Diceros bicornis minor: one gene and its partners. The protein of the gene in region 3 interacts with the protein of the main gene of each other region in a biochemical or structural test. Links are inferred from orthologs where the notes say so. Each region holds a gene or a part of one and is shown on either strand. Other genes may lie near its edges.

Region 1 (7,232 bases), on a different chromosome or scaffold from region 3:
TCCAAATGATTAGCAGGTGCCCTCCCACATGGTTTTCTCACTGATTTGAAAAGCTACCTTGATTGTACGTTAAATCCTTACAGGGGTGATGTTCAAAATAGTTACCAATTGGTATGGTGCAGGCACTGACCAGCCTGTAAGGATGCCCACCCAGAGCAGCTGGGACAGACGAGTCACATACTGGCTGGATATCGGCAGGAGTTCTTGTGTTTGCTGGGGGCTGTTTCTTTACTTTCTGTTATTTTCCATCGCTCTGGGCCAGTCCACGTTGTTTTCATTCTGGAGCCCAGATATGTTTTGTTTTCTCTCTCATCACTCTTGTTTCTGACTGTTCTCAAATGTTTATTCTTCCAGATGAACTATTCCACCATTTTGTCAATTCCCATGAAGTTCCATCAGAATTTAACGTTACATTTAGGTATTTAAAATGTTCTTTTGCTAATGTGATGGGGAATTTTCCATCGAGTTTTTCTAATGCATATAAAGTGTTTAGCACAATGCCTGTCCCATAGCGAGTGCTCAATAATGTAAGCATTTATAAGTACTGAATATTGTTAGCATGTCTGAAAGTTCTTGTTTTTTCTATATATTTACTTTATAATTGGCCACCTTGCTGAAGTTCTAATTCTAGGGTTGTTTTTTTTTTTAATTTGAGTCTTTGGGGCTGTCTTTATTTCTGATCAAAGGATTTGTTTTCTTCTGTTAACAATGGGATTCGTTTTCTTTCTAAAGCAAAGCGTTGCAGACTCTTCTATAAAATGCCCTTGTATGAGCCCCATCTGGACGTTCCCTGGTGTTTGGGCTGTGCCTGACCATGCCGCTCATGCTCAGCTCCAGCGTTAGAGACCTTCCTTCCACCGTGCAGAACTCTATTGTACTGAGCTCTTCCGACAGGCTGTGGACAGATCTCCTTCAGCCAGACAGCCCCTTCAGAGACCTAAAGACACACACAGCCACACACACTTTCAAGTCCTTCTTCTCCAAAAAAAGGAAAGTGTGATTCTTCTGCATGCTGGCCCGACAGTTACCAGGTGCCTCGCTTCCTGAAGCGCTCTCAGGACTGCAGGTGAGGCCTAACTGCCACACAGCGATGGGACCATTCATTCTTCTGAATGCAATTCTACCTTTTAGTGAATCCCACCGAGGATATCCCAGAACTCTTTCATGTCACTTTTTCTTCACTTGTAAAATTAATTTTACTAGACCTATATGCAGCATTTTCCCTGCATTTCTCTTGATTATTGAACACTTTAAATAACCCTGTTCCTTAATTTTTATCATTTAAATGTGACTCAGTCACTGATCCTGTTTCACCTTATACGAAAATTGATGAGGGTACCACTTCCATCATCAGCCAGGTCACTAGTGGTAATTTTCTTCAGCTGTGTCTTTTGTTTTAAAATTCTGCAATTCACTATTCATTTGCTTCAAAGTTAAGCTTAGGACAGGCATTTCTACCCACAACGCCTACGGTTTTCTTTTTTGTCACTGCCGTTGAGTCAATTCTGACTCCTAGCGACTCTCTGGACAGCCAAGCTCAACTCTGCCCCGTCTTTCTGAGCCAGGCTCTTACTTTCCAGAGCTCTATCAGACAATGCTCCACTGCTATTCATAGCGTTCTCATGGCCAATTTTTTTCAGAAATGGGTAGCTAGGTCGTTCTTCCTAGTCTGTCTTAGTCTGGAAGCTCCACTGAAACCTGCCCACCAAGTGTGAGCCTGCTGATAGTTGAAATACCGGTGGCATAGCTTTCAGCATCACAGCAACATGCAGCCACTACAGTATGACAACCGACAGACAGGTGGTGTGGTTCCACGATTGGGAAACAAACCCAGACGGAGGGAGGGAGAGCACCAGATCTTAACCACTAGACCACCACAAAGTTTTCTAATCATTACTTATTTTTTCAAGATATTTAACATATTACAAAACTGTGCATTTTCATTTTGAAAATTGTATTTTTATCCACATAGCTACATTTTTTCCTCCAAAAGTCACTGATCAAGAACGACAGTACAACTAATCTCTGCTCATTTCTAGAAGGAAAGGCCCTCAAAGTAAGCAATCACACACATCTGCCAACATCCCACAGCCTGACTTTATCACCGATACTCCCGCAGGCTTCAGCTCTGTTTGCCTCTGGGATTATTCTAAGATTGATAAGTAAACTGAGCTACTTTCTGATTTTCTTTTAAGTTTTGGAGAGTTGAAAGAAAAAAATTCAAAAATTCCACATTACAAAACAAATAAAAGGACATAAAACCACAAAGGAGCGATTTTCATTAAAACAGAAATACTGTTTCTTTTCCCCCTGGAAAAAGCATCTGGGCCATAACACTAAGTTAACAAGCGATGAAGATTTATCAGCGTCTTTTTTCCTTGATGTGAGAATGAGTATTGAGGGTGTCAGTGAGGGAGGGTGTCTCCCTCCTTTAATCCAGCAGGTAATTTCAGATAACCTTGTCACCTCTGGCAATTTCTCCATCGATTTTTCTTCTTCTTTCATGACCAAGTTCTCAAGATAGGTAATACTCCTGTTCCCTCTGACATCCCTGTATATCTTCGTATGTAGTTCAGTGTAATTCTGTCTCCTGGTTCTTGTTACCAAAGCCTGAGAAATAAGGACATTTTGGTATTTGAGGAAAAAAACAATCCCTTGGATGCAGTTCTTAAATGATCTACCTGATTCTGCTTTCTAGAAAAGATGCTGCTTTAGTTAAGCACCAACATATTTAACAGACTTTGGTTATTAAGATCTCAAGCTTTCTGAGCAGTGTTCACCATTTTTGGTTGTGAAACATGCTGAGAGGTTTCAAAGTATCCTGCATGATATAAGGTTTCATGGAAGCAAATTAATTGTAGATCTCTTTTAATTTAAACTATAGATTCCATATAGCACTTTATGAAAGGAAGTGTTTTATCAACAAAACAACGATGAAACGCTGCAATTTGAATACCATTGTTTTAGTCTTTCCTTCCATCGAGACTGGATCCGCCAAGAACTGCCAACAGGTGTATTCCCATGCAGGTCTGAGCACGCAGGACAGGCTATCATCAGCAGCATTTAGTTTCTGGAGGGCACCCGTGGGAATCACGAACCCTGTGGCTCCCATGCACGGGCACACTTTGTCTCACTTGGTGAACACACGGGATTCTGAAAAACACTATGGGCACGGAGGCTGAAAAGTTGTCACTCTTCTGCGGGACACATGGGGTCCTTTAGCGCGGCGCAGACCACCCCACCGGCAGCCTCAAAAGGCTGGGCACTCGGGCCAGCAAGGACCTCGGAGCACCAAGGACCCAGGTGAAATCACAGGGCGAGCCCATCACCTCCTCCGCCCAACCCTGGATTCGCAGCCCCGGCAGCCACGGCGGCCTCGCCTCAGGCGGCCCAGGACCATTCCCATCAGCGCAGGCGCGCTGGTTCCGTCCCACGCCCCCTCGCCCCGGAGGCCGCGTTCCCGCCGCGGGGCAGGGCGGGGCCCAAGAGCCTGCGCACTCGTCCTCCGCACGGCCCCTGCGTCTCCGGGCGCACGCAGCATCACGTGACCGCTGCCAGTACCCAAGATGGAGGCCGCAGCCAGGCCTGACCGGCTTCCCGCTTCAGCCCGCGCCGCGGCGTGCGCCCGCCAGGCACGCGGTCCTGAGCCCTAGGGTGGTGGGGGGCAGCTCTTCGAGGGCGGTCGAGGGGCACTTGCCAGGGCCAAAGGCCGTATTTACAATCACTACTCGCTCGAGCTCCCCGTGCTTTCTCAACCGCGAAGCGCCCAGTGGCTGGCGCCTTGAGCGTCGTTTAGTACCCCCGCCCTGGGGATTGGCAGCTTCGGCAGCCAATGGGGCCCAAGACATGTGCGGGTAGGCGGGCGGGGGTGGAGCATCCTTGCCGTCCGTAGAGCGTCCGGTCTGGCGGTTGGCCGCCGCGGGACGAGGGGCGGGAGCAGACGGGGCTGTACCTGGTGTCCCAGAAGACCAATGGGAGGACGGCCGGGCGCCCGGGGAGGGCGGGCGGCGGGCGGGGCCGAGCCGTAATTGACGACTTCTTCATTAGAAACCAGGCAGGAGGGAGGGGCTCGCGAGGGGAGGTGATGCAAGGCCACCGCAGCCAATGGCTGCAGCGCCGCTGGAGGGAGGGCGGGGCCGGCGCGGCTGACGGGCGTCGCGGGTGGCCTATCAGCGCCCGGCTCGGTGGTGGCGGGGGGGAGCAGCATCATGGTTCAACGTGGGTCAATTTTTTGTGAATGAGGAGGGGAGGTTGTGGGGCCGCCGCCGCGGAGCACCGTCCCCGCCGCCGCCCGCGCCCGAGCCCGCGCGCCCGCCCGCCGCCCGCCCGCCCGCGCCGCCGCCTCAGCCGCCTGGGCCCGGCGCGCCGCGGCCGCGTCCCCGCTGTCGCCGCCGCCCGAGCGCCCGCCGCCCGCCCGCCGCCGGGGTGGTGGTGGTGGCGGCGCAGGCTGAGGAGATGCGGCTCGGAGCGCCCGCGCGGGGCTAGAGCGCCCGCCGCCGCCGCCGCCCGCCGCCGCGGTAAGCGCAGCCCCGGCCCGGCCGCGGGCCATTGTCCGCCCCCCTCCGCCCGCCGCAGGCCGCCGCTCCACGCCCCCCGCCCGCAGCCGCCCGGCCCCGGCAGGTGGACGCCCGGCTCCGCGCCCCCGGCCCGGCCCGTGCGCCCAGGCCGCGCGCGCCCAGCGCTGGGGCTCTCCGGAGCGGGAGCCGAGCCCGCCTGGACCTCCCCTGCAGCCCAGACAGAACGAGGGCCGCCGCCAGGCGGGGGGCGCACGCCGCCCCGCGCCCGCCGTCCAGGCCGAGCCCTCGGCAGGTGGGCCGGGGGCCCCGGAGCCCGCCGCGCCGTTTATGTAACTTTGTCACGCCTGTGAGTTTGCAGAAAAACGTCCCTCCCGGGCCCGCGGCGTGGGGTGCGCCGTCCGCCGGCGGGTGCGCCCCCGGCCCGTCGCGGGAGGGGTGGGGTCTGTCCACGACCCGGAGGGGGTCCCCGCAGGATCTCCACGGGCCGAGACGTGGCTCCGTCCTGCCCGGAGGATGGGAGCGGCGTTTCCCGGCATTGCAAACACACACCACGGCATTATAAGCAAATTATCTCGTATTTACATTGAACGTTGAATTATTTGACACTGTTATAGCAGGAGACTGTGCGTATCAGTCGGAAAGGCCGGGGGTGGAACCCAGTGTACTCATTTAATGCACATCAAAAATTTGTAATAACTTGCAGCCGCTGATATGAGTGTTTTCTTTATTGCATGTTGTAAATTGACCTGCTGTGACACAATTTTCAAATAAAGCGTGGCAGAAATTAAACTTAAGTTATTTTAAAACTAATGACTTTCTTAACTAAATCCTAATTGCATTACTGTAGAGACCTATGTAATTGCTTGCTGAGAGCAGCTCTGCCTGCCCTCAGTGGGGGAGGACCGGGCCTGTTACTTTGCTTCCCCGCGTTACTCCGGCTTTTTTGTTTATTCCCACAAACCATCTAAGCATGGAAGGCCTGGGAGTAAACATGTAAACAGCCCTCGCCCAGCGCCTGCCCAGCAGGATTGAGGGAATACTGGTGGGTTTGCTCCTTGGCCTGGTTTCACTTTTTCTTTTGTAATACGATCATGGTTGCCTGGAGTTTTAATTGCTTCTGATAATTCGGTGCATTATTTGAGAGACCGTCCTGTGAAAGCTGGTGTGGTGGCTTCAGAATCTAGCCACGAGAGGTGGTGGTGGTGATTGGGGAGAGCGAGAGAGATTGAATTAAGAAAACTCAGCTGCTTGTACACAAATATACTCTACAGCAATTACAAAGCAACAAAAGTTATTGCAGAATTTTGCAGTAACTATGGCAACACAATTACTCTATTATAATTGGGAATGCAAAATGCCACCCTGTTAGAAGTTTCATCAGGATGGAATTTTGGATATCAAAAAGATGTGAGATTTAATTTTTTTTCAGGTAGCTCCTGAGAATTCTACAATCTGTGTTCCATTATCTATTTTTAATTCTGATCAAGCTTTCCCAGATATTCCACTCCCTGGGATCTGTGGCATCTTTCCCCAGAACTCACATTTGTGTGGGAGGGAAGTATTTTCCTGCCTTAAAAACACACACCCTGACACATTGTAAGACTTCTCTAGCTTTCTGTCTTCTGGACTTTTATTTTAAAGATCAAATACCTTCCTAAAGAGAGCAGTAATCAATCAGAAAAGAAGCAGGATTTTTGCGGCAGGCAGATGTAACACTGCCCTCTTTAGGGTTAGTTCTTTCTCCTGCAAGGGGAGCTGGCAGCATGAGTGCCCCTGGGGGAGCCCTGGGGCCGGGGTGGGGGCTGGGGGATGGATGACTGTGGTCTGCACGGAGGCCTGGAAGGCCTAGGGACCAAGGACAGATGTGGCCTAAGCAGCCCTGAGCCAAGAGAGAATGTTCTGTGGTCAGCAGCTTCGCAGCCATGCAAAATAAAAATCTCCAAATGTTGTGCTCTCAGAGGCCTTGGGGGCTGTAACTGTAGCAAGATGGACAGAACAACATGGCACCGTGGCCATGTGCAGCTGGAGCGGCAGATCTTGACTTTCAGTAGTCAGAAACCTGCTTTATACGGATGGCCCTCTTGATGTTTACCAGGAGGACTCGAGTTCTGGAAGTTTCCACACATCGTGGGGTTGCTGCAGTTTAATTTCATTATAACTCTTTCTTTTTAACTACTGCATATTTATGCCCAGTAATCGACTTCCATTTTCCAGCTTCATTGTGAGGTTTCAATGCTGCATGAATGGCTTTGAATTCTCATCCTTTGATGTTGGGGGTGGCACCAGAGGAAAGGGACTTTGTGCCGTCTTAACTGCTGGAGCAGAAGAAACATGTCATGACTCCTGTAGAATTCGTCCATACCATTCGTTCTCTATTGAAAACGGCTGGGCTTTCATGGCTCAGAAGCTGCTATGAGTAATAGATTAATACCTGATGTAGGGAGTGAGGGAGAGGCAGCGAATGAGAGGGGATACATGCCTGTCCAGCCTCCGTGGAAGCTTCGGATTTTGCCCTCGTTCTGCAGCCTGAGAAGCTGGGCCTGAGCTCCTGCTGTTCCAGCCGGAGGGCGAGTCCCTCCCCGTTGGTTGCAGCCCCCTCCTTGGGCCTGGGGTGGAGGGCAGGGGTCGAGTTTGGAGGGGGTTTTGTTTCAGTCTCAGATGGTCAGCATATGCTGTGGTGTGCAGTGGGCTCAGGGCTCTTGGCTTTGACCTTAG
Region 2 (7,879 bases), on a different chromosome or scaffold from region 3:
GGACTGGAGGGGGCGCAGGGCTCTTCCTTCCCCTGAGAAGGCAGGCTCCTCCCTCTCCCTGCCCAGCAGCCCCCTTCAAGGGCAGGTGTCTGATCAGCCTTCAGCTAAACAGGTGACGAAGCAAGGAACACACAGCGGACAACCGACAGACAGTGAATGGACGCGGGGCACAGACACTGTTTATTGAGTGGCAGGTGCAGGAGAGGTCGCTGGCTCCAGTGTAGAAGCGGAGGCAGCAGGTCATGCCAAGGCGCTGTGGGCATCTGGCAACCAGGGCCATGCCTCCCATCCTAGGGGACGGCATAAGCTCACTACAACAAGAGTAGCAAGCAGCCGGCCAGGGGAAGAGGCAGCCACAGCCCCCAGGATCCTGGGCAAGAAGCGGCAGGTGAACTTGGCACAGGGGCCTGGGGTAGGAGGACTGGGGTCTGGGTGTTCTGGGGGGAAACAGAAGGGGATCACGTCTGTGGGGTGGAGTAGAGACTGTGGTGGTGGCCGCCTGGTCCCAGCACCTGGGAGAAGAGCAGAGGAGTGGTCCGCGTCTGGCTGCCCCCGCACCAGCCTGGCTCCCGCCCGATGGCGCCGTACCAGCTGCCGGAGCCTAGGCTGCCTGACATGCTGCAGGCAGAGAAACACCGTCAGTCCCAGGGCAGTGACCAGGGCCACATTCACAAGAGCTGGGGGAGGGAGAGAGCCTCAGAACAGAAACCAATGACCGAGACCTCCAGGATGCAAACTGCATCTCGGGGCGAGAGATGGAGACCTCATCTAGTACAGACGGGAATCAAAGAGCACGGCGGGCCAGGCAGGTGGATGGGTGGCAAGACCCAGGACTAGGTCCCCATAGCTTGATGGAGCAAGCCGGGAGCCCAGGGGTCTGAGGCAGGGCCGGGGCTCCTACCTGGTGCTCTCGCCCCGGCTGTGCTCCCAGGAGCAGCCCTCGTCCTCGCAGTGCCCAGCCCGGTCGAAGAAGTAGGAACGGGAGCCAAAGACCTGCCCGTTGAGGATGCGGCTGGTGCTCTGGGGAGGAAGCCACCATTGATGCTTTCTCCTGCCCTCACTGGCCTCCCACAAACCCTTTAGACCCCAGCCCAGGATTCCATGTCCACCCCTCTCCACAGCCCTCACCAGGTCCTGCGGGGGCCGGTGTACCCGGAAGAAGCCCACCAGCAGTGTGGTGGGCAGCAGCTCCCACACAAAGAGGATGAGGCCAAACACCAGGTAGCCCTTGTTCCCCAGGTCATTCACCAGGTCCGCCTGTGGGAAGGCAGGGGCTTGTGTCAGTCCGCAGTCGTGCTATGGGGCACCCAGATAGGGCCCAGGCCAGCTGGGGACCAGGAGCCACAGCTACTAAGGAGGCGGCAGACGTGCCGAATGCCCACCTGGTCGGAGACGTTGTACCAGTCGTAATCAAAGGCATCCAGCCGGCTCCGGGGGGCCAAGGCCAGGGCCGCCAGGTTGTAGCAGGCCCGGCTGGCATAGAGCAGGACCATGGCGCCACCCATCACGGCTGCCTGGCACACACTGGTCCCCTGGCACAGATGACAACAGGGAGGGGAGGCTCTAGCTTCCTCTCTACCCTGAAGACCACTGCCCAAAGACCCCCAAAGGATACCCAGGCATCAGGGCTTGTGGCCCTACCTTGGCCTCCAGGTAGATGCTGGTGGAGGGGGCCCGCCGGGCGACAAGGCAGAGGCAGGCGGCCAGAGAGAGCGCGCAGATGACAAAGAGGGAGTCGCTCACCAGGACTCGCACCAGCAGGAGGGCCCAGGGCTGTGCCCGGCGCCGGCGGGACAGCACGGCACACAGCACATTCACCAGCAGAAAGAGCAGCGAGGCCCCCACGAAGGCCCCTCGGACGGCCAGCCTGCGGCCCACAGCACAGTCAGCCCCAGCCCTGGGCGCTCAATCACCCCACCTCCCACAGAAGACCCTGGTCAGTCAGAACCAATCCAGACCAATCCAGTCCGAAGACTGCCCCTCCAGTTTTAGATGGGGAAACTGAGACCCAAAGAGATCAGATGGTGACCGACAGCTGTGGTCGAGTGGAGAGAGCACCGGACTGAGAGTCAGAAGTCTGGGTTTCAGCCCTGGCTCTGCTCTCTGCCAGGTCTACGACCTTGAACATGCTGCTTTACCTTGCAGGCCCTCAGTTTCTACATCTCTCAAATGGCGATAGTAAGAGCCTCAGGGGTAAGTTGTAAAAATTAAAGATGTTTGTGAAAGCTCGTCATAAACTGGAAGACGTTATACAAATGACAGGATATCGCCACGCAAGGTCACCCAGAAGTGCAGTCTGGCTTGGGCTGAAGCCTCCCACTCTTCCTCCATCATGGGTGACACTGGTACCCTCTCCCCTCACTCACGACTGTTTCTATTATAATTTTTCTTGACCTATGCTACGCCTCTGCTCAGCCATCCACCCCAGGAGCCCTACTTTTCCAAGCTTTTTCACAAACACTCCTGGGGTGGTCCTTGCCTCAGCCCTGCAAGGGAGGAAGGAATGGACACCGGGCTGCTCCCTGGCCTGAGGGCTGAGCCCACCAGTGTCCCGAGTACTCACAAGCCTCGGCTCATCTCTGGCCGACGCTTCGCCTTGGCCTTGAACACCACCTGGGAGCAGAGACGCCCATCATTCCTTTGGGCCTCTGGGGCTTGCCCCACCACCACCCACCCCCACCCGGGACCACAGTTACCTGGGCAAAGTAGAGGTTCATGAGGGTCAGCGTGAAGAACTGCAGGCAGACAGGGCAGCAGTAGAGAAGCCAGAAGGGGAGAGGCCCCAGGCGGTTGGCACGGGGGGTGTCTCGGAAGTAGAAGGAGAAGAGGGTGGTACGCAAGGCAGCCCAAAGCAAACAGAGTGCCAGGAACACCGTCTGGTAGCTGAGACGCTTGTGCCCATAGAGCAGCACCAGCCAGAGCTGGGCATAGACGGAGAAGAAGAGAAGGGCGTACAGCGTGGTGTAGGCCGCGGTCAGCCCCAGGGTCACAGCAGGTGGCAGGGCAGGCACCAGCCCAGCAGCAGGCACCGGGCCAGATAGGTTACTCTCCATGTCAGGGAGGGAGGCCTGAATCCCGGAGACAGAGATGGAGGGGCTGGCAGGGGGCCAGGGAAATAAATACGGAGGGGTGGGAGCTGCAGGGTACAGAGATGGAGATGGGGCGCTCGCGAGGAAAGAAGTTGCGGCTCACCAGGCCCTTCCCCCTCCACAGAGGGGCCCTCGCCCTTGCAGCGGGGCACGGGCAGCCTGGAGCCTGCGCCCCTCACTCGGGGCGTGGAAGGGCAGTCTCTCCTCTCCAGGGTAGAGGAGGTGGGTGGGGGGTGTCTCCCCTGCACCACCCCAGAGCCGGGGTAGGGGACTGCAGAGGCTGAAGGAGAGAGGTCCCTGGCCTTGGTCGCTCGAGTCGTCCCGGCAGGAGGGGGAGAGCCGGCCGATGCCCGTGGGCTCAGGGCAGCGGCCGCTGCGGGGGGCGTTCAACGCCCGGCTCTCCCCCTCCCCAAACTGGGGAGATCTCTCCCCTCCAATGATCCGGATGGGGAGGGCCTCTGCCTTCCGTCCTCGGGATTCCGGACGCTGCCTCCACCCCACCCCCACTGCGTCCACCCTCCAGCCGCGGGGGACCCGAGGAGGCGGACGCCGGGTCCTCAGGCCGCCGCTGGGGGAGCCGGCTCCGGTCGCTGGGACCCGGGGCTCCAGCTCCCCGGCTCCCGCTGCTCCGCCCCCTCCTGCGCCTGCGCGGGCGCCGGTCGCTACGCAAATTGCGCAGGGTCTGGCCCGGGCTCCGCAGTCCGGCGCCGCGCCCGGCGCGGAGCCGTTTGAGAATTGGCGCAGCTGCGCCGCCGGCGGACGCCAGGGGTTACGAGAGGCTGCAGGCGGCCGAGACGCTGGGGCCGCGCCGCATCCGGCGGGCGCCTGGGGGGGCCGTGCCCGGGGCCACCGGCCCTTGCTTGTTTGAGGGGCCGCCAGTTCCCATGCTTCTCTTCCCCATAGCCAAGCCGAGATCGCTCCGCCCGGCTGAGGGCGGCAACGACTTCCCCTCACCCGGTTCCTGAAGGAAACTTCCGCCCACAGCCAAGATGGCCTCCGGGCCCCGCCCCCTGGGCCTCACCCGCTGTCCCCGCTGTCCCCAAGCGGCCCGCCGCCCCACGCCCTGGCCGGCAGCGGCTCCCGCTCACCTGGGCGGCCGCCTGCCAGGCGCGAAGACCCCGCGAGTCCTACGGTCACCCTCCCAGGGGGCCCTGTCCGCTCTCCTGCGCCGGGGCAGCCATCCCGCCAGGCAGGAGACTGCTCGCTTATCTCGAGCGCTCCCGCGATGGCGCGGGGAGTGGTGCCCGATGCGGGCGCTGCGAGGTTTCCACTGTGGGGAGGAGGAGGGCGCGGGACTTCCCGACCCGGCCACCCATCCAGACGGGGCAGTGACAACAGCGACGACAGTTGCAGCCGGCGGCCAAGCTTCAATGACGGCTTTGCAAAGTGCTTTCACACACGGTTTACAATGATCAGTGGCTCCTGAGGGAGGTGTCATTATCCCCATTCTACAGGGGTAGGAACTGAGGCCAGAGGGGCGGAAGGACTTGTCACCAGAAGCTGGTCTCCAGGTTCCCGGTGGGGACCCCAGAGAATCCCTCCTCTGCTCCCACACACGCCCAGGGCACGAGAAAGCCGGGAGCCGAGCGTCCGGAGACGAGGAGTGGACCCAGGCAGGAAGGCGGGCGGCGGAGAGCGGGTCCGGCGGGGGGGGCGGGGCCGGGCCGGGAGCGGCCCCGCCTCCTGGCCCGCCCTAGTGACATATCGAGAGCTGATTGGGCCGGGTCTGTGACAGTTTCCGTTGCCCAGGCAACTCGGGCTGGGCTCCCTCAGTACTAGAGGGAGGCGGCGGCGGCGGCGGTGGCGGGCTCGGGTCAAGGGCCTCCAGATCGGGCTTGGGGTGAGACCTGGGTGCCGTCACCACGGGCGGGTCAGGCCGGGGCCTGGGTAGGGGCCTGGGGCTGCTCCACCGCTCCAGGGCTCCCCGAGGAGATTTGGGTCCTGGGTGGACAATCTGAGCTTCCTGCCCGGCCCACACTCAGTGGACAGATGGGGGCCTGGGAGGCAGGGCAGACCTGGGGCTCTAAGGTGGGAGAGGGGGTCAGGGGTGCCTACCCTTACCCCCCCACCTCCCCCGCCGGCCACCGTTTGCCCCTAGCCACGCACCATCTTGCCCCTACAGCCCAGAGCATGTTCCAGATCCCAGAGTTTGAGCAGAGTGAGCAAGAAGACTCCAGCCCTGCAGATAGGGGCCTGGGCCCCAGCCCCACGGGGGACCGGCCCTCAGGCCTGGTCAGGCACCAGCGCACGGCCCCAGGCCTCCTGGGGGAAGCCGGTCACCAGCAGGAGCAGCCGGCCAGCAGCAGCCACCATGGAGGTAGGCACACCCCCTTGCCCCCAGCCCAGGACCTCCTGCACCCCAGCCGCATCCACACTCATAGGGTGGCTTTGAGTAAGTCCCTAACCTCTGTGCGCCTCTGTTTCCTCTGCTGTAAAACAGAGAAATTAATCACCACCATTGTAGGGCTGTTGGGATGAATAGCAGGAGTATACAGGAAGCACTTAATTATAGTGCTGGTGCTTAATGAATGCTCAAAGAATGTAGCTGTTAGGACCAGGACAGAAATCTGAGAGGCAGGCAGGGAGCCAGAAAAGGGAAGTTACTTGCCTAAGGTCACACTTGCTTGGCATTTCCTTTCGTAAGAAGCGGGGCTGGAAGGCTCCATCAGCGCTCTGCCCCAGGCTGCGTGCTTTCTCTGGGATGGGCCTTCTAGTCCCCAGGTATGTTCCTTCCCGCCCTGTGGTCACACCCACACCGGGGCTATCCTTGCCCGTTGCCAGGGGCAGGTGACCTCAAGAGGCAGACAGCCCGCCCGGTCAGTGGGTTACTGTAGGGGTGGGGAAGCACAGGCCTCCCTCCACGCCCACTGAGGGCGGCCCAGCGCCGAGAGATGGGAGGACGGGCACAGGAGGGCAGTGGCCATTTCTCAGTGGTCCCACCTTCTCAGTGCCCAGCACTGGCCTTGGCACCTGGAACAACCACAGAGATCTGAAAACAAAAATCACATCCCTCGCGTGCTGAAACCTACATGACCCCTTTCATTTTCGGGAGCAAGAAGGCTTACTAAAGCCTCCTCCCCAGCCCTCCGCCACACGCCCTGTCAGACGGAACTCCACCGGCTTTAACTTCCAGATCTTTGCACTTGCTGTTTTTCTGCTTGAAAAAGCTTTCCACCTCCCACCTGGCTGTTCCTCCCCATCCTCTGTATCAAGTGCTTAATAGGTGCCACGTAGTCTCCCAGCTTCCAGGGGTACATCAGTGACAGATGAGATAAAAATCCTTGCCCTCGTGGAGCCTACCCTGTCCTGGGGTTAGGGGAGGCAAGCCATAAACAAGAAGAAAATGATAGAGTGCATTAGAAGATGACAGCCGGGGGCAGTGCGCCAAACAGTCTTGCCTGTCTCTTTTGAATTCGGAGTACCGGGCCTGGGGGAGTGACTTCAGCTGAGGTGGTCAGGGTTGCCTCGGTAAGAGGCAACGTTCGAGCAAAGGCTGGAAGGGATGAGGGGTGAGCCACGCAGGTATCTGTGGGGCGGGAAGGGTGCATGCAAAGGCCCTGGGGGCAGGATTCACCGGTCCAGGCCAGTGAGGGGAGGGGCTGGGAGCTGGAGATGCATCGAGTTAATGGAGGGGGAGGGGCAGCCAGGCAAGGCTTTGAAGGCCAAGGTAAGGACTTTGGCTTTACTTTGAGTGAAAACATGGGAGGGCTTTGAGCAGCTGCGGGGTGATCTGATTTTGGCATCAAGAGAATCCCCAGGGCCCCTGTGTTGAGTCTGCAATGGGCAAAAGCAGCAGTGGGGCCGCAGCCTGCGCCCGAGTCCCTGCGAGGGAGGATGGTGGCTTGTGCCAGGGCGGTGGCATTGCAAGTGGTAAGTAGCTGGACTCGGGGTTTATTCTGAAGGTAGAGCAGGATTTGCTGCCGGACTGGATGTGAGGGTGAGGGAAAGAGGAGTCGAGGATGCTGCGAGGAATCTGGCCTGGACGCCTGGAAGGACGGGCTTGCTCCTGAGATGGAACTGAGATATGGGGGGACAATCAGGAGCCCAGCTGGGCCAGGTCAGCTTAGAGGTGCCTTTTTGGCATCCAGGTGGAGATTTCTAGTAGGGATGGGTCCAGGCAGGATTCGTGCACGTGGGAGTTGTTAGTCACCGACGGCCTGTTCTGTGAGGCCCAGGGAGCCAGTGTGGACAGGAGGGGACCTGGACTGAGCCGGGGGCTCCAGCCTTCAGAGGGCAGCAGAAGAGGAGGAGCCGGCCCTGGGGACTGAGAAGGAGGGAGCAGCGGGGTGGGAGGGAAACCCAGAGCATGCAGGGCCCAGGGAGGCGTATGGGGCTCGTAAGGAGTGGGGCTCTGGACCCACGATGCTCCTGGGAGGGCCGCTCACTGGAGGAGGGCTGGGAATGGGGCGCTGACGTTGACAACTTGGGGCCACCGCAATGGTGGGGAGGCGGCGGAAGGCTGACCTCAGTGGGGAGGGACAATGGGAAGAGAGCTGGAGACAGGAGAGAGCCCGCTCTCAGCAGCTGTCCTCCGGTATCGAGGAGCCAAGGGGTGGGCGGCAGCTGAAGGCCCGAGGCGAGGCAAGGAAGTGTTGTGTTTTTTTTTTTAAGATAGAAAGGGAAAAGAAAATAACATGTTTATAAGCTGATGGGAGTAATCCAGGAGCGAGGGAAATACGGGATGTTGCAGGAGAGAGGGGAGACTTGCCGGAGAGATGTCCTTGAGTGGGAGACGGGGGTCTGCTGCCCAGCAGAGGGGCAGCTCAGCTAAGAGCAGGGCAGTGGACATG
Region 3 (7,128 bases):
CCCCTCAGACTCTCCTCCCTCAATGAGCCACTCTGTTTCCTTTAAACTACATAGCATTTTGTTCATAACCATCCTTTGAGAATTATATATTATTTGTTTGTGTATTTCTCATGTGCACTCACAAATTACTGGAGGACAAAATCTACGGTTCTCAGCTTTGTTCTTCCCCATACTGCTTAGCACAGTGCCTTGCACATACTAAGCTCTCAAATACAGCCACCAACTTGAAGATGGGCTTTCCCAGGTTTTTTTATAGGTTGGGCATTAAGTCACAACTAGTCTCTCAAGCCATTTTACTAATATAAATATTTTATTTATGCCTCAGTGTCTCAGATTAGTCAAGTTAAACTCTTCTATCTCACTTGGTGTAAAAAAATTATCCTAATTTTAAGGGTTCTCTCCTACTGAAATGCCGTATATGAAAGGTCTACCCCAATATACCTGGTCTCTCTTCCAAGTCATTTATCAACTAAGCAAAACTCTCTTCCACTTACGCTGTCATAAAAACTAAAATTTATAAGAGCCACAAAATAAAACAAATAGTCCTTTGGCTCAGAGTTAACTTGCTAGAGAACAGGAAAAATTTTATGGTAATTCCTAATTGCTGCAGGGTAACTAAGAAACTTTAAAATAATAACAACACAAAAAGAGACTGAAATATGCGATGACAGCCCCCAAAAGCAATACATATACAGAAAAGCTTCTCATTAATGTATGGAATTCTTATAAGTCTTCCCTTGATAATAGAGTCTATGTTGTCAACAACCATTACCATATGCTATCGAAGGCTACTGTCACTTCCAAGTTGGCAAATTTCTTGAATACAAGCAATTCAGTTCAAAAGCTTTTATAAGTGCCTCCTCTATGCCAGGCAGGGAGTGGAAGCTAAGATGTAGATGAATACACCATACAGTCTTGCCTTCATAAAGCAAATAATCTCAATAGAGTTTTCTCCACTTAGTACACACTCTCTGCATTGCTTTCTTTGCCCCTTTACCTGATATCTCCATCAGCCATGATTTTGTGCAGATCACCAGTTATTTGTATTGGAAAAACAGGTTAAAGAAGTTTAAAAAAAAATTTCCTGCCCCATGAATCTCATGGGGCAAGGAAGAGACAGCTGGAAGGAAAAGAGGCATTTTCCCTTCTATTCCCTCGTGAAAAATCACCAATCGAGCATGCTTGTCCTTCAAAGCCCCCCTAAAATACAAGGAACACGTCAAACATCAGTAGGCCTCTTGTAAAACTGGCACTTAAAAAAGGCAACTGCATCAGATATTTCCTATTTTATTGCTAGAAAAGACTCTTTGCAGTATTAAAACACTTCAAAACACTCCAGGAGATAATGCTGGTATTTAAATTTTAAAAACTTATTTTACTGATCAAAAGATCCATGCAATGACAAAGCTAAAAATGTTCTCTCTCACTAATAAGGGTGAATCACAGCAGGCACCTACTCCACCCAACAGCCACCCTTGCTAAAACTGGACAGTTCAAAACCTGGAAAGCTTTCCTTGCCTGCTCCACACGAGAAATGAATTCAACACATTAGAGTTTACGTATAGCTATGTAATAGCAAGGAAATGTTAATAAATACTGAAATTTACCAGGACACTTTGTTCTTCAGACTTAGCTGCGCCTTTTCCACATTTACCAAACTCTCCCCCGTTATTAACAGGGAAAAAACTCAACAAATACTCTTACTTGAAAAATGCAGGATCTGTTCTATTTTCGAAGTAAATCTCCATTAGTTTGGGAGGAAAATCTACGGCATATACTGTCTCTGTGGAAAAGGTGCCTGCCTGCACTTTTTTTCAACTCAAGCCTATGAACTGATGAAATATATTTAAGGGGTCCCCAGATCTCCTCGGTAAGCCTAAAAACGATTTTCAGTCTTGCACAAATCTACTTGGATATTTCAAAGTTATATTGTGTGGCAGCAACGCAGCATCTGGGGAAAGATCTATTTACCCCTGAAAATGCAGCTTGTTAGGTCTCAAGAACTGAAATAACTCATTAAGGAGGCCAAGGCGAACCTTCCCAGACCCTTTCCGTCGGCAGACGATTAGGCAAGCCCCGGCCCACATTTCTTCCCTGCTCCCACGAAATTCTCCACGAAAGCCTCACACAAAAGGGCCTCCGCACGCCGAGGCACTTCCCCGGCTCCCGCCGCCCGGCGAGAGCGGACTCACCAGGACCGTGGTGCAGATGGACCTCAGCTCGGACTCCACTTTCTCCCGATAGTCCTTAATCAGCTGCAACTTCTTGTCGGAGGTGTCAGTCTTCTGCTCGATGCTCGAGATGACCCTCCAGGCGGACCGGCGGCCCCCGACCACGTTCTTGTAGGCCACCGAGAGCAGGTTGCGCTCCTCGTTGGACAGCTCGGCGCCCTGCTCCGTCACGGCCTTCATGCAGGTGGCCATGTCGTCGTAGCGCTCGGCCTGCTCGGCCAGCTTCGCCTTCTGGATCAGCTCGGTCTTCTCCATGGGGACGGGAGAGGAGAGCGAGGGCGAGCACCGACCCGGATCGGAGGAGGCGTGCGGAGGGCCTGCGGGCGGCGGACACAGGGCGGGGGCGGCGCCGTCAGACAATGCGCCCGCCGCCCCTTTTGTCTGTCCCCGCACGCGCGGCCCAGTTGAATTTCCCTCCCCCGCCCACGCTCCCGCCCGGCGCCCAGGAGGCCGAGGGGCGCCCGCGGAGGCGGCCCGCGGCGGGCGAAGGAGGAGGGGGAGGAGGAAGAGCCGCTCCCGCGCCCGCCCGCCCAAGATGGAAGCGGCCGTTGGCCCGCACCTTCCCGCCGGAGCCGTCCCTGAGGAGAGCGGCGTCGAGGCCGGCCGCTCCCGGGGGCTGGCCTCCCGCCCGGCCCTCAGGCCTGGCCAGACCGGAGGAGGGCCGGAGGCGGCCCTGGCGCTCACCTTCACGTCTCCGCGGCCGCGGCACGAGTCCCACCACTTTGATCCGCTTTTGGCTTTAGCGGAGGACCCTCCCGTCTCAGCCTACCCCAGAGCCGAGGGGCGGGCCTCCGCGCAGCTGCCCTCTCTCCCGCCGCCCAATGACACGCCGAGCTTCCCCCTAGAGTCCCGCCTCCCGCCCCGCCGCTGGCCAATGATAACTGAGCGCGCGGAAGGGGGCCAGGGAGGCGGGGCGGGAGGGGAAGTGGAGGCTAGGAGGGTGGGTCGGCTCGGGCAAGTTCGGTTGGCCAGCAGGCTGCGGCTTCGGCCACGGGGTTTCCTCCAATTAGATCCAGGGTAAAAGGACGTCACTGTTGCCATGGCGATGCTGTTACCAACTCCCCTCATCCTCCCGCCACCCCCAGCACTTGTGGGTGCGGCACCGGAGCGGGAGGCTCGCACCACCTCTCCTGCGGCGGCTGCGTCTCTTGCTGCAGCACCGCTGCAGATGGTGCATTGCATCTTTGGGTCAATGCAGCTGCGGCTCTAGTCGGCCTGGTGGGGCCGGGCCTGGGAGGGTGACACAATCGGTTGTTTTGTTGCACAAGGGCCTTTCTTTCCTCCACCTTCCTATTCGTGACAAAGGTTTGGAGCTCAGTACCTTGAACCCAGCCTTTAATGACGTTGCGATTGCGGCTGCGAATTAGAAATAATCTCATCCCCATTAAAGAGGAATTAGTTCCTGGAGAAAGTGGCTTAAATATGGCTTTTACATGATAAATTCAAGTTTTCAGATGGGCACCTAAAACCTGAAATTCCCTTGTAGAATTCCCAAGGAAGTCCAGGCAGGTCTCTCCGGCAATGCCAGTTATTATGATTTTCTTTAAAATGAGAAATGACATTAGGGATAATTTGGTGAAAAAACTACCATTAACTCCATCCCCCCAAAAAGCAACTGTTTTTATATTTCTTTCCAGCCTTTCCAGGTTATGCATCTAAATATGTATTTTTTCACATCGTTGTCGTATGTGTACATGCTTTTTAATTTCTGGTATTGTTTTTGAAAGGTCGCTTGAAAAGCTAAACTTCTCTCCCTAGATGTTGACTTCTGACATTCTCCTCCTAGCGAACGAACACCCGTCTGAAGTTAGGCAGATGGCCTCAGACGTCTTTTATGTCTTTTACTCAGGGTCATTGACAGACTTTCCTTTCTCTTGAAACTAGGCACTCCCTTCCTGCCACTCCCTTCTCTTCTGGCACTTCCCCGGTGCCCTACTCCAAATAAGGTCCTGGGTGTCTGGAAAGTGGCCTTTGTGCCATCTTAAGATGAAAATTGCCATCTGGGTTCATGTTACCATGATTCCAGTTTCAGCACGTCCAAGGGAGAATGGATCATTGAAAGACAAAGAATGCCACAGCCGAGAAAGAATTTCAACTTCCAAGTGGAGACTGGAGCAGATCTGGAGAATCTCTAGAATGGAAGAGTGCAGACAGATGGCAGGAGAAGGTGCAGACTTTCCAGAAATCTAAACTCCCTCCCAGCTATCCCTCCCTGTCCTGACTTGTAAAGGTTGCTTTGTGCTTTGACAGACAGGAGAGGCCTGGGTTGGAAAGGGCCTGTCTCTTGATGCAGAAATGCCTTACTATGTTCCAGTGTTCTAATGGAGGGCCCTGCTGTTATTTCTGGAATCCCTGGGGCCAGGCTGCAGACACACGAGTGTTTATGGCCATGTGGGCTGGGGTGGAGCCGGACACCAAGAAATCCCAATGGAAAGAATTTGCATGTGGAAGGTCAGATAAAATGCTTTCTGTATGACAAAATTTCAAGCTTACTGAAATTAGATACAGCCGAGGCAAGGAGAGGAATCAGTGGAGGTGGATGGGGGCCGGAGACCCTTGAGGGGAATTGCCAGGGGACCTGAGCTCTGTGGTAAGGAGGGAGGGAAGGGGCAAGCACACTAACTGTTTGTCAGAAAGTCTGGGCCAGACTGCCATCTCCCCTGGTGACCTTGGGCAAGTTTTTGCTGCTCTCTGTAACTCAGTCTCTAAAATTCCTGCTTTCGTTCAATCGTCAAAGATTTATTGAGCAGCAATTCATATAGTTAGGATCATATGGGATCATGGGTAAGAACTGCTTCGAAACAATGGCACACTATGAAATCATAAAGTATTTTATGAGAGACCAAAGGGATACGTGCATATGTAAAGGCTTCTGCACCTGAAAGAAGTAAGGTTGGAGAAAATTAAAGCTCTGGGAACTTGAAGTCCCTGGACATGTAAAGCCCTGACATTTATTGAGTGATTACGTGTGTCAAACACTTTTTTAAGTCTTGCAAGTATTAACTCAATGTGCTTAATGCCACCATGAAGTAAGAACTTGGAGGCACAGGGAAGTTAAGTATTATGCGCAGGGTCACACAGCTTGTGAGTGGCAGAGCCTGGATATGGACCCATGCACACCATGTGTGTGCTGAAGCCCATCCTCGTAAGCACTCTGCCAGAGCTTTGCTCTGTGCTGTAGGGATTCTAGGAAAAATCAGGCTAGTCTCGTCCTCTAGGAGTTCCCTCCTAGTAAACACGAAACGTGTTAAACATCCACATCCAACGTGCTGAGAAGAACTCTAGGGAGCAGACAGCTAACAAAGAAAGTACTGAGAATTTATTACTTTATTTGTTTGATGTTCTTGTTATTTTTTCTAAATTACTTGCTGAGAAGAAGCTGCTGCAGCAGGAGGGAGCACACTGAACTTGAAGCCAGAAGATCCTAAATCCCAGCCCTGCCATTTGTTTGAGGTTTGACCTTGGACACTGTGATCCTCTCTGGACCTCAGTTTCCTAACCAGTAAAAATAATCCCTACCTGAAAGGGTTGTTGTGGAGCTGTCACATAAGAAAATACTGGGCTGGCAGCAAGTGTTCAGTAAATGTTAGTTTTTCTCCTTCTTTCGCTCTGTTCCGGGGTGGGGTGCAGGGGGCTGGAGGGAGATGCCTGAGCTTTGTAAAACTGCTAGTGAAGGCTTATCTCTTGAAGCACATTGTAGTTAGTGGAGTCAATGGTCTGCAGAATGGCTACTTTCAGTGTACATTTCAGAATGAACGAGTCTTCCTGGTTGAGTTTACTCGCACAAATTGTTTCCATGGTTTGTTTGCCCAGAGCAGTGGGTCTTCTGAGAGGAACTTCTTCCTCTCCAGCCATATGGCAGATATTTTACTGACATGCAAACATTTGAGTGGGACTTTTCACTGTAAATTCCCATATAATCATTATCAATACTTCTGTTTCGTGGGTCGTTGAAGAGTTGCCCCCAGTATCCACTCCCCCGGAGGTGCTAAATGAGATTCACCTAAAGCCAGGATGGGTGGGGGAAATTGAGGGAGCCTGGTCAGGGAAGTCCTTCTCCACATTCCCTGGCTCAGGGCTGGGGTCGGGCCTATAGCATTCAGCCTCTCATCAGGCCTCAGCAGGCAAGGTTGGTTCATGCCGTCTGCAGGCATCTCTCTCTCCTCGTGGTTGCCCCATTTCTGGCATCTCCAGAACACCCCTTGGCCACACATTTTCCAGCTTTCACTGTGTGCACTCAGGGAAAAATCTAATCAAATCATTCTGTCATGAAAAACATCAGAAAGTCTTCAAACAATATTTCTTCTGCCATGATTTGCATTTAAGAGAAAAGAAAGCTCTTACATTTGAAGAATAAAACTAGATTTCAGGCATTCTGAACCAGCTTTTGGTCAGCCGGCCTCTTGGGGAAGGGCTCCAGCTTTCCGACATTTCTCCAGCATTTCCTATGTGCCAGGCAATAGAGTATTTTAAAAAATGCTTGATTGCTTTTGTAATGATGATAGTGATGATGATAATGTTAATAAAAAATGTAATAGCACTCATTATACAAAAAAATGAAACAATACGTAAATATACAAGGGAGAGTAAAAAGAATCTGAGAGCCTGCCTCTAAGAGGTGACCTCTGTTAGCATTTTAGTGGTCCTTCTAGATATATCCTTTTTCATTTGGACATATGTATGTGGTTTTACATGCATGAGATTGCATTCTTTGTTCAGTGTGATGGTTGATTTTGTGTGTCAGCTTGGCTGGGCCACATGGTGCACAGGTATTTGATCAAACATTATTCTGGGTGTTTCTGTGAGGGTGTTTTTGGGAGAGATTAATATTTAAATTGGTGGACTTTGAGTAAGCAGATTGCCATCCATAATGTGGATGGGCCACATCCAATCAGTT
Region 4 (6,891 bases), on a different chromosome or scaffold from region 3:
AATGTATGCAGGCACTGCCCCGGACCAAGTTATCAAACAGCAGCTTACACTCCCAAATGGTTCACCGATTACCGCTAGCATGAAATCCATGGTGTGCACCGAGTTCCTACTACGCGCTCAGCAGTATGCTGGGCATGTAGGGAAGAGAGGAAATCAATGCACACATCACAAGAAAAAGACCATGGTGGGAATACATTTACATTTAGTAAACAGCACAAAGAAACCACACTGAGGCAGTCTGTTACTCCACTTTGCTGAACACAATGCCCCCCACGGGCTCGCTGAGAGAGTAGGCACTCCACTCCAAGCCACTCCCCAAATGCCTGAGGGTGCCAGTCAGTCACTTGGCCTCCTCCTACCAGCTCACAATCAACAGTCTGGGAAAGTTCTCTGGTCAGGCAGGGTTCACTTGCTAAAACAAAGGTTGTGATGGGAAAAGGAATGGCACAGGCAACGTCAAGAGGGCCTGGAGAAAGCGGTTCCCGGTAAGGAGAGAAACAGCTGGCAAGCGAGGGAAAGCCTGTGGGATACAGACCATGCTCCTGTTTCCAAAGACCTCAGGCCCCTGCAGAACCAGCTGCCAAACCCAGTGATGAAATGGAAATCACCCATCCCTCCCTCTCAGCCCGTTTCAACCCCACAAGCAATCAATCCGTCAGTAATGAAAGGGTCAACCACTGCAGAGAGAAACTCAGTCCAGAACCACTGCAGAGAGAAACTCAGTCCAGAACTCCTCTTGAGTGTCTGACTGCCCAGGGGACACAGAGCCGGGGGTAACAAAAGAAAAGAACGTAGCAAAAATGAAAAGAGGGAAGATTTTTCAGAAAAGGTTAACATGCAAGAGACTATAACGACGGTTCTATTGGGCTCCGAAGAACTAAGGGAACAAAAGGAAAGCAGCAAGGATGTAAGGAGGGAAAAGGATGCAAAAAGCACTGCAGCCCCAGGGGAGAAGAGCTCCTTTTTCGAGTCAAGTTTTTTTGGCCTAGTAAAGTTCTCCACCAAGAAGGGCGTGACAGGCAGGGGACTCTCCACAGAGCAGTCAGCAAGGGACACTGGAGATGGTGAAACAAAGGGGAGAGGTGGAAGTGGATGCCTCTCAGCTCAGAGGTGAGATGACAGAGAAAAGGCTAAGGCTTGGGTGACAAATGACGGCAGTGATTGCCAGGATGAGAGGGAGCGTGTAGCTCAAGAAACGAGCATGCAAAATGCCTGGGCCCAGGAGTTACAAAGACTAGCCAATGGGAAGGGGATGGAGAGGGGCATATGTGGGGAAATAAACACGGTGTGAAGAAGGCAGGAGACTAATACCGAGATGAAAGGCAATCCTGATTAAGAAACACAGTAAGGATTATGAAGTGAGGGTAAAGAAACCGGAAGACAACAAGCAAGGAGGAAGATACTATGAAAAGTGACGGATCCGGGAGTGAAGCGACAGGAAGGCATGGTTTGTGCTGTGATGTAAGAAAACAGAAAGGCAAGGGCGGTGATGCAGCGAGGCCCGGGAGAGGACTAAGCAACAGGTTGTGTTAACGGAGTGGGGCTGAAATAGTGTCTTTCCCTCGGTAGGAAGAGCCCGGGGAGAAGGCTGGTAAGGCACCCACAGGGAGAAACAGGAGGCCAAGAGACTTAAAAGCCAAACTCTGGGGGGAAGAGAACGCGAGGGATCCGAGGACTTTGAAGGGAGTGACGACTGGAACCCCAGAGACAACCTGTGGGAAAACTATGCGCATGACAGCTGTATGGGAAACACGGAAGCAACAAATGCCAGCGCGAGGCACCAGGGAGCTCCTGGAGAGAAGAAGGGAAAGTGATGAGCACAGAGTAGGCGAGCGATTGGGAAAGGTGATGAGGGTAGAGCTGGTGGGTTGCAAGCAGGAGGGAGAGCGCAATTTGGAGAGGGCAGAAGCAGGGTAAAAAAGAGGAGGAACTGGAAGGGGACAGGGTTCAGGGATCGAGAACACACTCCGGGGAAGGACCCTGAGGGTGATAACCAGGGACTGGGAGAACCGGTGCGGGCGGAGGGGGAGCAAGGCGAGAGAGATGGAGGAAGGGGTGGACGACGATCTGGGGCACACCGCGGAGTGCTCTTCGAGGAGTGGGAGGGTGGCTGCTTTAAGCGTGGGTGGAGAAAGACCAAAAAGGCCCCCGAGAGAAAAAGGGAAGAGAAGGGGAAGCTGGGGAGGTAACACGGAAGAGCGCAGGAGGGCGGTGAGGGCAGAAGGGGGGTCGGCAGGAAGACAAGTGTGCAGCTTGGAGTCTGGACGAGGTGGGTCCCAAGACCGGACTCGGAGGGGGATGTGCGGGGCCGAGAGCCAGATGACAGGGCAGCCGCGGCTTGCAGGGTGGCAGCAGGGCACGAGGAGAGCAGAGGAGGGAGGAGGCTCCGCAAGGTGCAGGGGCCCAGCCAGAGAATCCGGGGAGCCCTCGGGGCTCCTTACCTGCTCCGTGTCCCTCTCGTTCAGCGTGGGTAGGGGGGTCCGGGCGCTGGACATGGCGCCGGTATCTCAGGGGAGGGAACCGAGAAGCTTGGAGGAAGGGAGGGAAGGGAAGGCGCGGAGCCCGGCCGGGCGGGGCTTCTCACAGCAGGGGCACCCGCCGCATGGGCCCCGGCCGGGGGTGCGGGGAGGCCGGGCAGCCGCTCACGCCAGCCCGGGGATGCGCCGCTCGGGCTAGGCCGCGCCGGCTCCGAGCGGCTCCGGACCGCACCCCCCCGACCCCCGGCTGGGCTGTGCCGCCTTTCGGCCGGGCCGCGCCGCTCCGCCTACTCTCTGCCGCCGCAGCCGGCCGCCCGCCTCGCTCCTCCCCTGCCCTCAGCGGCACTGCTCCGCGCCCGGCACACAGGCAGCCGCCGCCGGACCTGCTGCTCCCAACATGGCCGCCACCACCGCCGGCCCTCGGCTCTTTCCGCCGGCAGCAGCCGGAAACATCCGAAGCGGCTAGGAACGGGAGGGGGGCGCGCCTCCTCCTCCCGGCCACGGACTACGGGTGAATTCCGGAAACACCCGAAGAAGGTAACCCCTGGGGACGCGCGCGCCTCCTTGATGCCGAAGACCGAGTTTCGGCTCTGTTTACGGAAATCCACGAAGCCACCCCGGGTACTCCAGCCACGCCCACAGGCCTTTCCCCGCCCGCTTCAAGCTGGCGCTCGGCAGTTTCCGGAAACACCCGAAGAGGCTCTGCGAGCCGTGAGCCGGCCACGCCCCCGTCCCGCTCCGCTGCCGACGGCTGTCGTCGGCCATTTCCGGCAACACCCGAGGCCTGGCGAGCCCCGGGTCATTCCCTCAGGAGGTATCCAGAATCTGACTCTTCGTTTCTTTCCGTCAGTTTTCGGATATTTTCAAATCTTGAAAGGGAGCGTGGATCACCTGTGCTTGTTATTATTTGACTAAATAGAAAATAAGGCTGTCAGCGGTCCTTGCGATTGGCATCCTTCGGTTTTAAAGCAACTTCCCTTCTCCGCGTCCGTTCGTCCGTCTGTTGGTCAGCTCATAAAATCCATCTCGTTTGTCACCCAACCTGTCTATCAACATATGTCACCCGTCAAATGCAGTGTTAGCCTATTGTCTGTCTACTATCATTCATCCCCTGCCATCGTCTGTCTTGGCTTCTATTTATCTACCCATACACCCACATCAAGTCCGCAGGGCACCTCAAGGACCTGGGCAGACACTTGGTCAGCGTCCTTGGCTCCCAGCTGCGGGAGGCTGCAGAAGTCTCCCCAGCCCTGCATCCCAAGCCCAGTTCTGTGGACTGAAAATGCTGTGTGACCTTGGAAAAATCACGTAACATCTCTGAGTGCAGGCTCCTTGACCTCCCTATACTGAGAGAATCCGTGCCTTTGTTCCAGGGATGACATTCTAAATAACATCTTTAAATTCCAGTGACCTTTTAATTTCAAAAAAAATCTTTTAATTGTTCAAAATAGCACAAAATGACATCACACTGTGGTAATGTTGAGTCACACCAGTTACCTTTTTAAATACCCCTGTAAGGTAAGGCAGGAGAGAAATTCTCATCTTAATTCACATTTCAGTTATCCCTTCTAAGACAAGAAAACTCGTGGAAAAAGAGAGAGAAACTAGTTGACGATGAGGATGCCTCAGGATGGCACAAAGAATGGGCACCTGGAGAAGTTCCTTTCCTTCCCTGGGCCTCAGTTTCCCCATCAATAAAGCGAGGTCGCTGGATTCATGAGCTCTCAGGTCCCTCTCATTTTTGCAGAGCTCCTGACTAACAGGAAGTCCATGTGGCAAACTGAGCCCACTCTTCACTCCCCCTAGACTGTCTCATTGGGAGAGGCTGATCTGATTCCTCTGGCTCCAAGGGGCTCCCACCCATCAGATCCAGACATGTTGGAATTTGCCCTTGTCCCCCGCCTCCCAGGGCTCAACAGCAGCTTCAGGTGGGCAGAAGCCAGAGTCCCCCCAGAAGACAGAGACCAGGCTCAAGCATCAAGTCCCCAAAAAGGTACAGGAGCAGAGAGGCCCCAGGGATTGCGAGAAAAAGTGCTGGCTGGACCTCGGATGCTTCACTTCCAACTCCCAGCTACAGTTTCTAGAGCAGAGCCCTCGGCCAAGTCACCCAGAGAAATAGGCAGCCGGACAGACGCAAGGAGATAATGATATGAAAGTACTTCCTGAGGCGACAGGTACCACCTACAGACCTAGTAAATATCCGGGACTCTAGGACAACTCCCCATGCCCTGCCCCAGCTCCATCCAGGCACCCAGCCGTTGATGAAGGAACACAGGAGGAGGTGAGGACAAATAAGAGGAAGAGGTGAGGACAGGGGACATTCCACTCCCCAACCCCAAATTCTTCTCTGAAAATCCATGAGAATGATCTGCCCTCTGGTGGCCAAAGGGAGACACACTGCTGAGTCCTGTGTCCGGTGTCACCTCCAAGGGTCTGGAAAGAAGGAAGAAGGGGAAGAGGTTGGAGGAGCAGAGGAAGGTGTGCTCGGGGGTCTGCCAGGGCCCAGGTTCTCGTCTCAGCAAACTCTACCTTCTCCATCCTTGTCCTCGCTCGTGTTCTCACCCCTGCCCTCTGACCTTTAGCCCCCACCCCCACCCCACCTGTCCCCTCGTCTTCCTCACAAGGCTGCCTAACTGGTCTCCCTGCCTGGACTTCCTCCGACGTACTCCACCAGACAGGCCAGAATAATCTTCCTAAAGTCCAGCTCTAATTACATCTCTGCCTGCTGGAAGGTTCTCACCAGCTTCCTTGAGGGACAGGCAGGGCTGGCTCCATGGGCCTAGGACCTGTGCAGTCACACAAAGCCCTACTCTTAGAAGGGCTTTGAGTTTGATGTAATGCTCTGCTGTCATCCTCTTGTAATTTTCATCAAGGGGGCCCTGCCTTTTCATTGTGCGCTGGGCCCCAGACATTTCGTAACCAGTCCTGGAGGTAAAAAAAGCCTTTAGCCTGCATTGGAAGCTTTGCACAATCTGGCCCCAACTTAGCTTGCTAATATCCTCTCCAACTCAGCACTGCTGGTTGACACCTCCCCCCAGCTGCAGCCCGGCCACCAGGCTCTCTCACCTCCATGCTTTTGTTCAGGCTGATCAATGGCCAGTCACCTACCTCAGCTTCCGGACGTACTTCAAGATTCAGTTCAGATGTCACCTTCTCCAATCCCGGAGCCTTCCTAGTTCTCCTTAAAGATTAATTATCACTGCACATTTACCCCCCTCCAATCTGCATATTCATTCATTCACAAATCTCTATTGAGGACCTACTATGTGCAAGGCACTCTTCTAGGTGTATCAGTGAACAAAACAAAGATCTCTGCCCTTGGGGAACTTACAACTGCGAGAAGACAGACAACAGACGTAATAGTATTAAGTGTCATGGAAATAAAATAGAGCCAGCTAAGGTGGGTCAGGGTTGCTGGGGTGAGGGGGTAGAGGTGAAAGACTAAGGTGGTTAGTGTAGGCCTCACTGAGAAGGTGACACTTGAGCAGACTTGAAGGAGGTGAGGGAGTGAGCTCTGTGGATATCTGGGAGGAGAGCATTCTAGGCAGAGGGGATGGCCTGTGCAAAGGCCCTGAGGCAGGAGCGGGCCTGGCTGTTTAAAGAACAAGAAGGCCAAGGAGACTGGAGCAGAGTGAGGGGCTGAGTAGTGGAGAGGGCAGAAAGGGGATGTGGAGCTAGGCCACAGCTTTGGCTTTCCCTTGGAGTGAGATGAGGAGCCGCTGCAGGGACATGATCTGATGGGCTGCTGAGTTGAGAACAGAGCGAAGGGGCAGGGCAGGAACAGAAGCCTGGAGACCAGGAAGGAGGCTTTTACATAATTCAAGTGAGAGATGACAGTGGCTTGGGGTGGGGCAGCAGCAGTGGAAGCAGTGAGAAGGAGAAGGATTTGGGATATATCTGGAAGGTAGAGCTGACAGGATTTCTCGATGGATTGGCTTAGGGGGTCTGGGAGAGAAGTTAAGGATAATTCCAAGCTTTCCAACCTGAACACTAAAGACAAAACAAACACAAGAGTAAAGGCAGCTACCACAGGCCCTAGACCAGGTGGACACCAGCCAATAGGAGCCGTGCTCCAGGGCGGCCGTGATGCCCCCTGGGATCCCGGAAGGCAGAGGTTACGGGATTCCCAGCTCTGGCAGGGGAGCAATCCCCCTACATGCATGAGCTGTGAGGAAAGAAGTAAGAAGAGGTAAGAGTGCTGGAGTGGAAGACATCCTTGTTCTCATCCCTCCAAAACACTGCAACTCATCTTCACCTTTCTCCCTCCGACCGGAGGAGCCAGAGAGGATGCGCATTCCAGGCAGGCCACTCTGGGAGGTGCAGGATTGCCTCAGAATTGCCCTCTGATCAAGAGTCAGAAGCCGGGGGTGAAGCAAGACCCACCCACGCCCTCTGACTCGCCAGAGACCCTCCC

What was found.
Region 1: the proteins of YWHAQ (region 3) and HDAC4 are reported together in a solved structure, tested with the Homo sapiens proteins (2 studies listed by BioGRID, with this or other methods). The link is inferred for Diceros bicornis minor from reciprocal best matches to the Homo sapiens genes YWHAQ and HDAC4.
Region 2: the proteins of YWHAQ (region 3) and BAD form a complex in vitro, tested with the Homo sapiens proteins (2 studies listed by BioGRID). The link is inferred for Diceros bicornis minor from reciprocal best matches to the Homo sapiens genes YWHAQ and BAD.
Region 4: the proteins of YWHAQ (region 3) and MARK2 form a complex in vitro, tested with the Homo sapiens proteins (2 studies listed by BioGRID, with this or other methods). The link is inferred for Diceros bicornis minor from reciprocal best matches to the Homo sapiens genes YWHAQ and MARK2.

What each region holds. Positions count from the first base shown.
Region 1 is NC_080776.1:26,625,876-26,633,107, reverse strand, and holds the start of HDAC4 (histone deacetylase 4), read left to right. Parts: upstream 1-4,232; 5' UTR 4,233-4,517; intron 4,518-7,232. UniProt on the Homo sapiens protein: Responsible for the deacetylation of lysine residues on the N-terminal part of the core histones (H2A, H2B, H3 and H4).
Region 2 is NC_080770.1:8,706,931-8,714,809, forward strand, and holds the start of BAD (bcl2-associated agonist of cell death), read left to right. Parts: upstream 1-4,879; 5' UTR 4,880-4,929; intron 4,930-5,211; 5' UTR 5,212-5,219; coding exon 5,220-5,406; intron 5,407-6,788; exon of another isoform or gene 6,789-6,868; coding exon of another isoform or gene 6,869-6,959; intron 6,960-7,879. Other genes in the region: integral membrane protein GPR137, read right to left, coding at 101-512, 902-1,020, 1,129-1,257, 1,383-1,532, 1,642-1,867, 2,564-2,613, 2,697-3,053. UniProt on the Homo sapiens protein: Promotes cell death. Successfully competes for the binding to Bcl-X(L), Bcl-2 and Bcl-W, thereby affecting the level of heterodimerization of these proteins with BAX. Can reverse the death repressor activity of Bcl-X(L), but not that of Bcl-2.
Region 3 is NC_080751.1:70,440,965-70,448,092, reverse strand, and holds the start of YWHAQ (14-3-3 protein theta), read right to left. Parts: upstream 3,012-7,128; 5' UTR 2,916-3,011; intron 2,816-2,915; exon of another isoform or gene 2,791-2,815; intron 2,549-2,790; 5' UTR 2,487-2,548; coding exon 2,193-2,486; intron 1-2,192. UniProt on the Homo sapiens protein: Adapter protein implicated in the regulation of a large spectrum of both general and specialized signaling pathways. Binds to a large number of partners, usually by recognition of a phosphoserine or phosphothreonine motif.
Region 4 is NC_080770.1:9,074,030-9,080,920, forward strand, and holds the start of MARK2 (serine/threonine-protein kinase MARK2), read right to left. Parts: upstream 3,003-6,891; 5' UTR 2,496-3,002; coding exon 2,442-2,495; intron 1-2,441. UniProt on the Homo sapiens protein: Serine/threonine-protein kinase. Involved in cell polarity and microtubule dynamics regulation. Phosphorylates CRTC2/TORC2, DCX, HDAC7, KIF13B, MAP2, MAP4 and RAB11FIP2. Phosphorylates the microtubule-associated protein MAPT/TAU.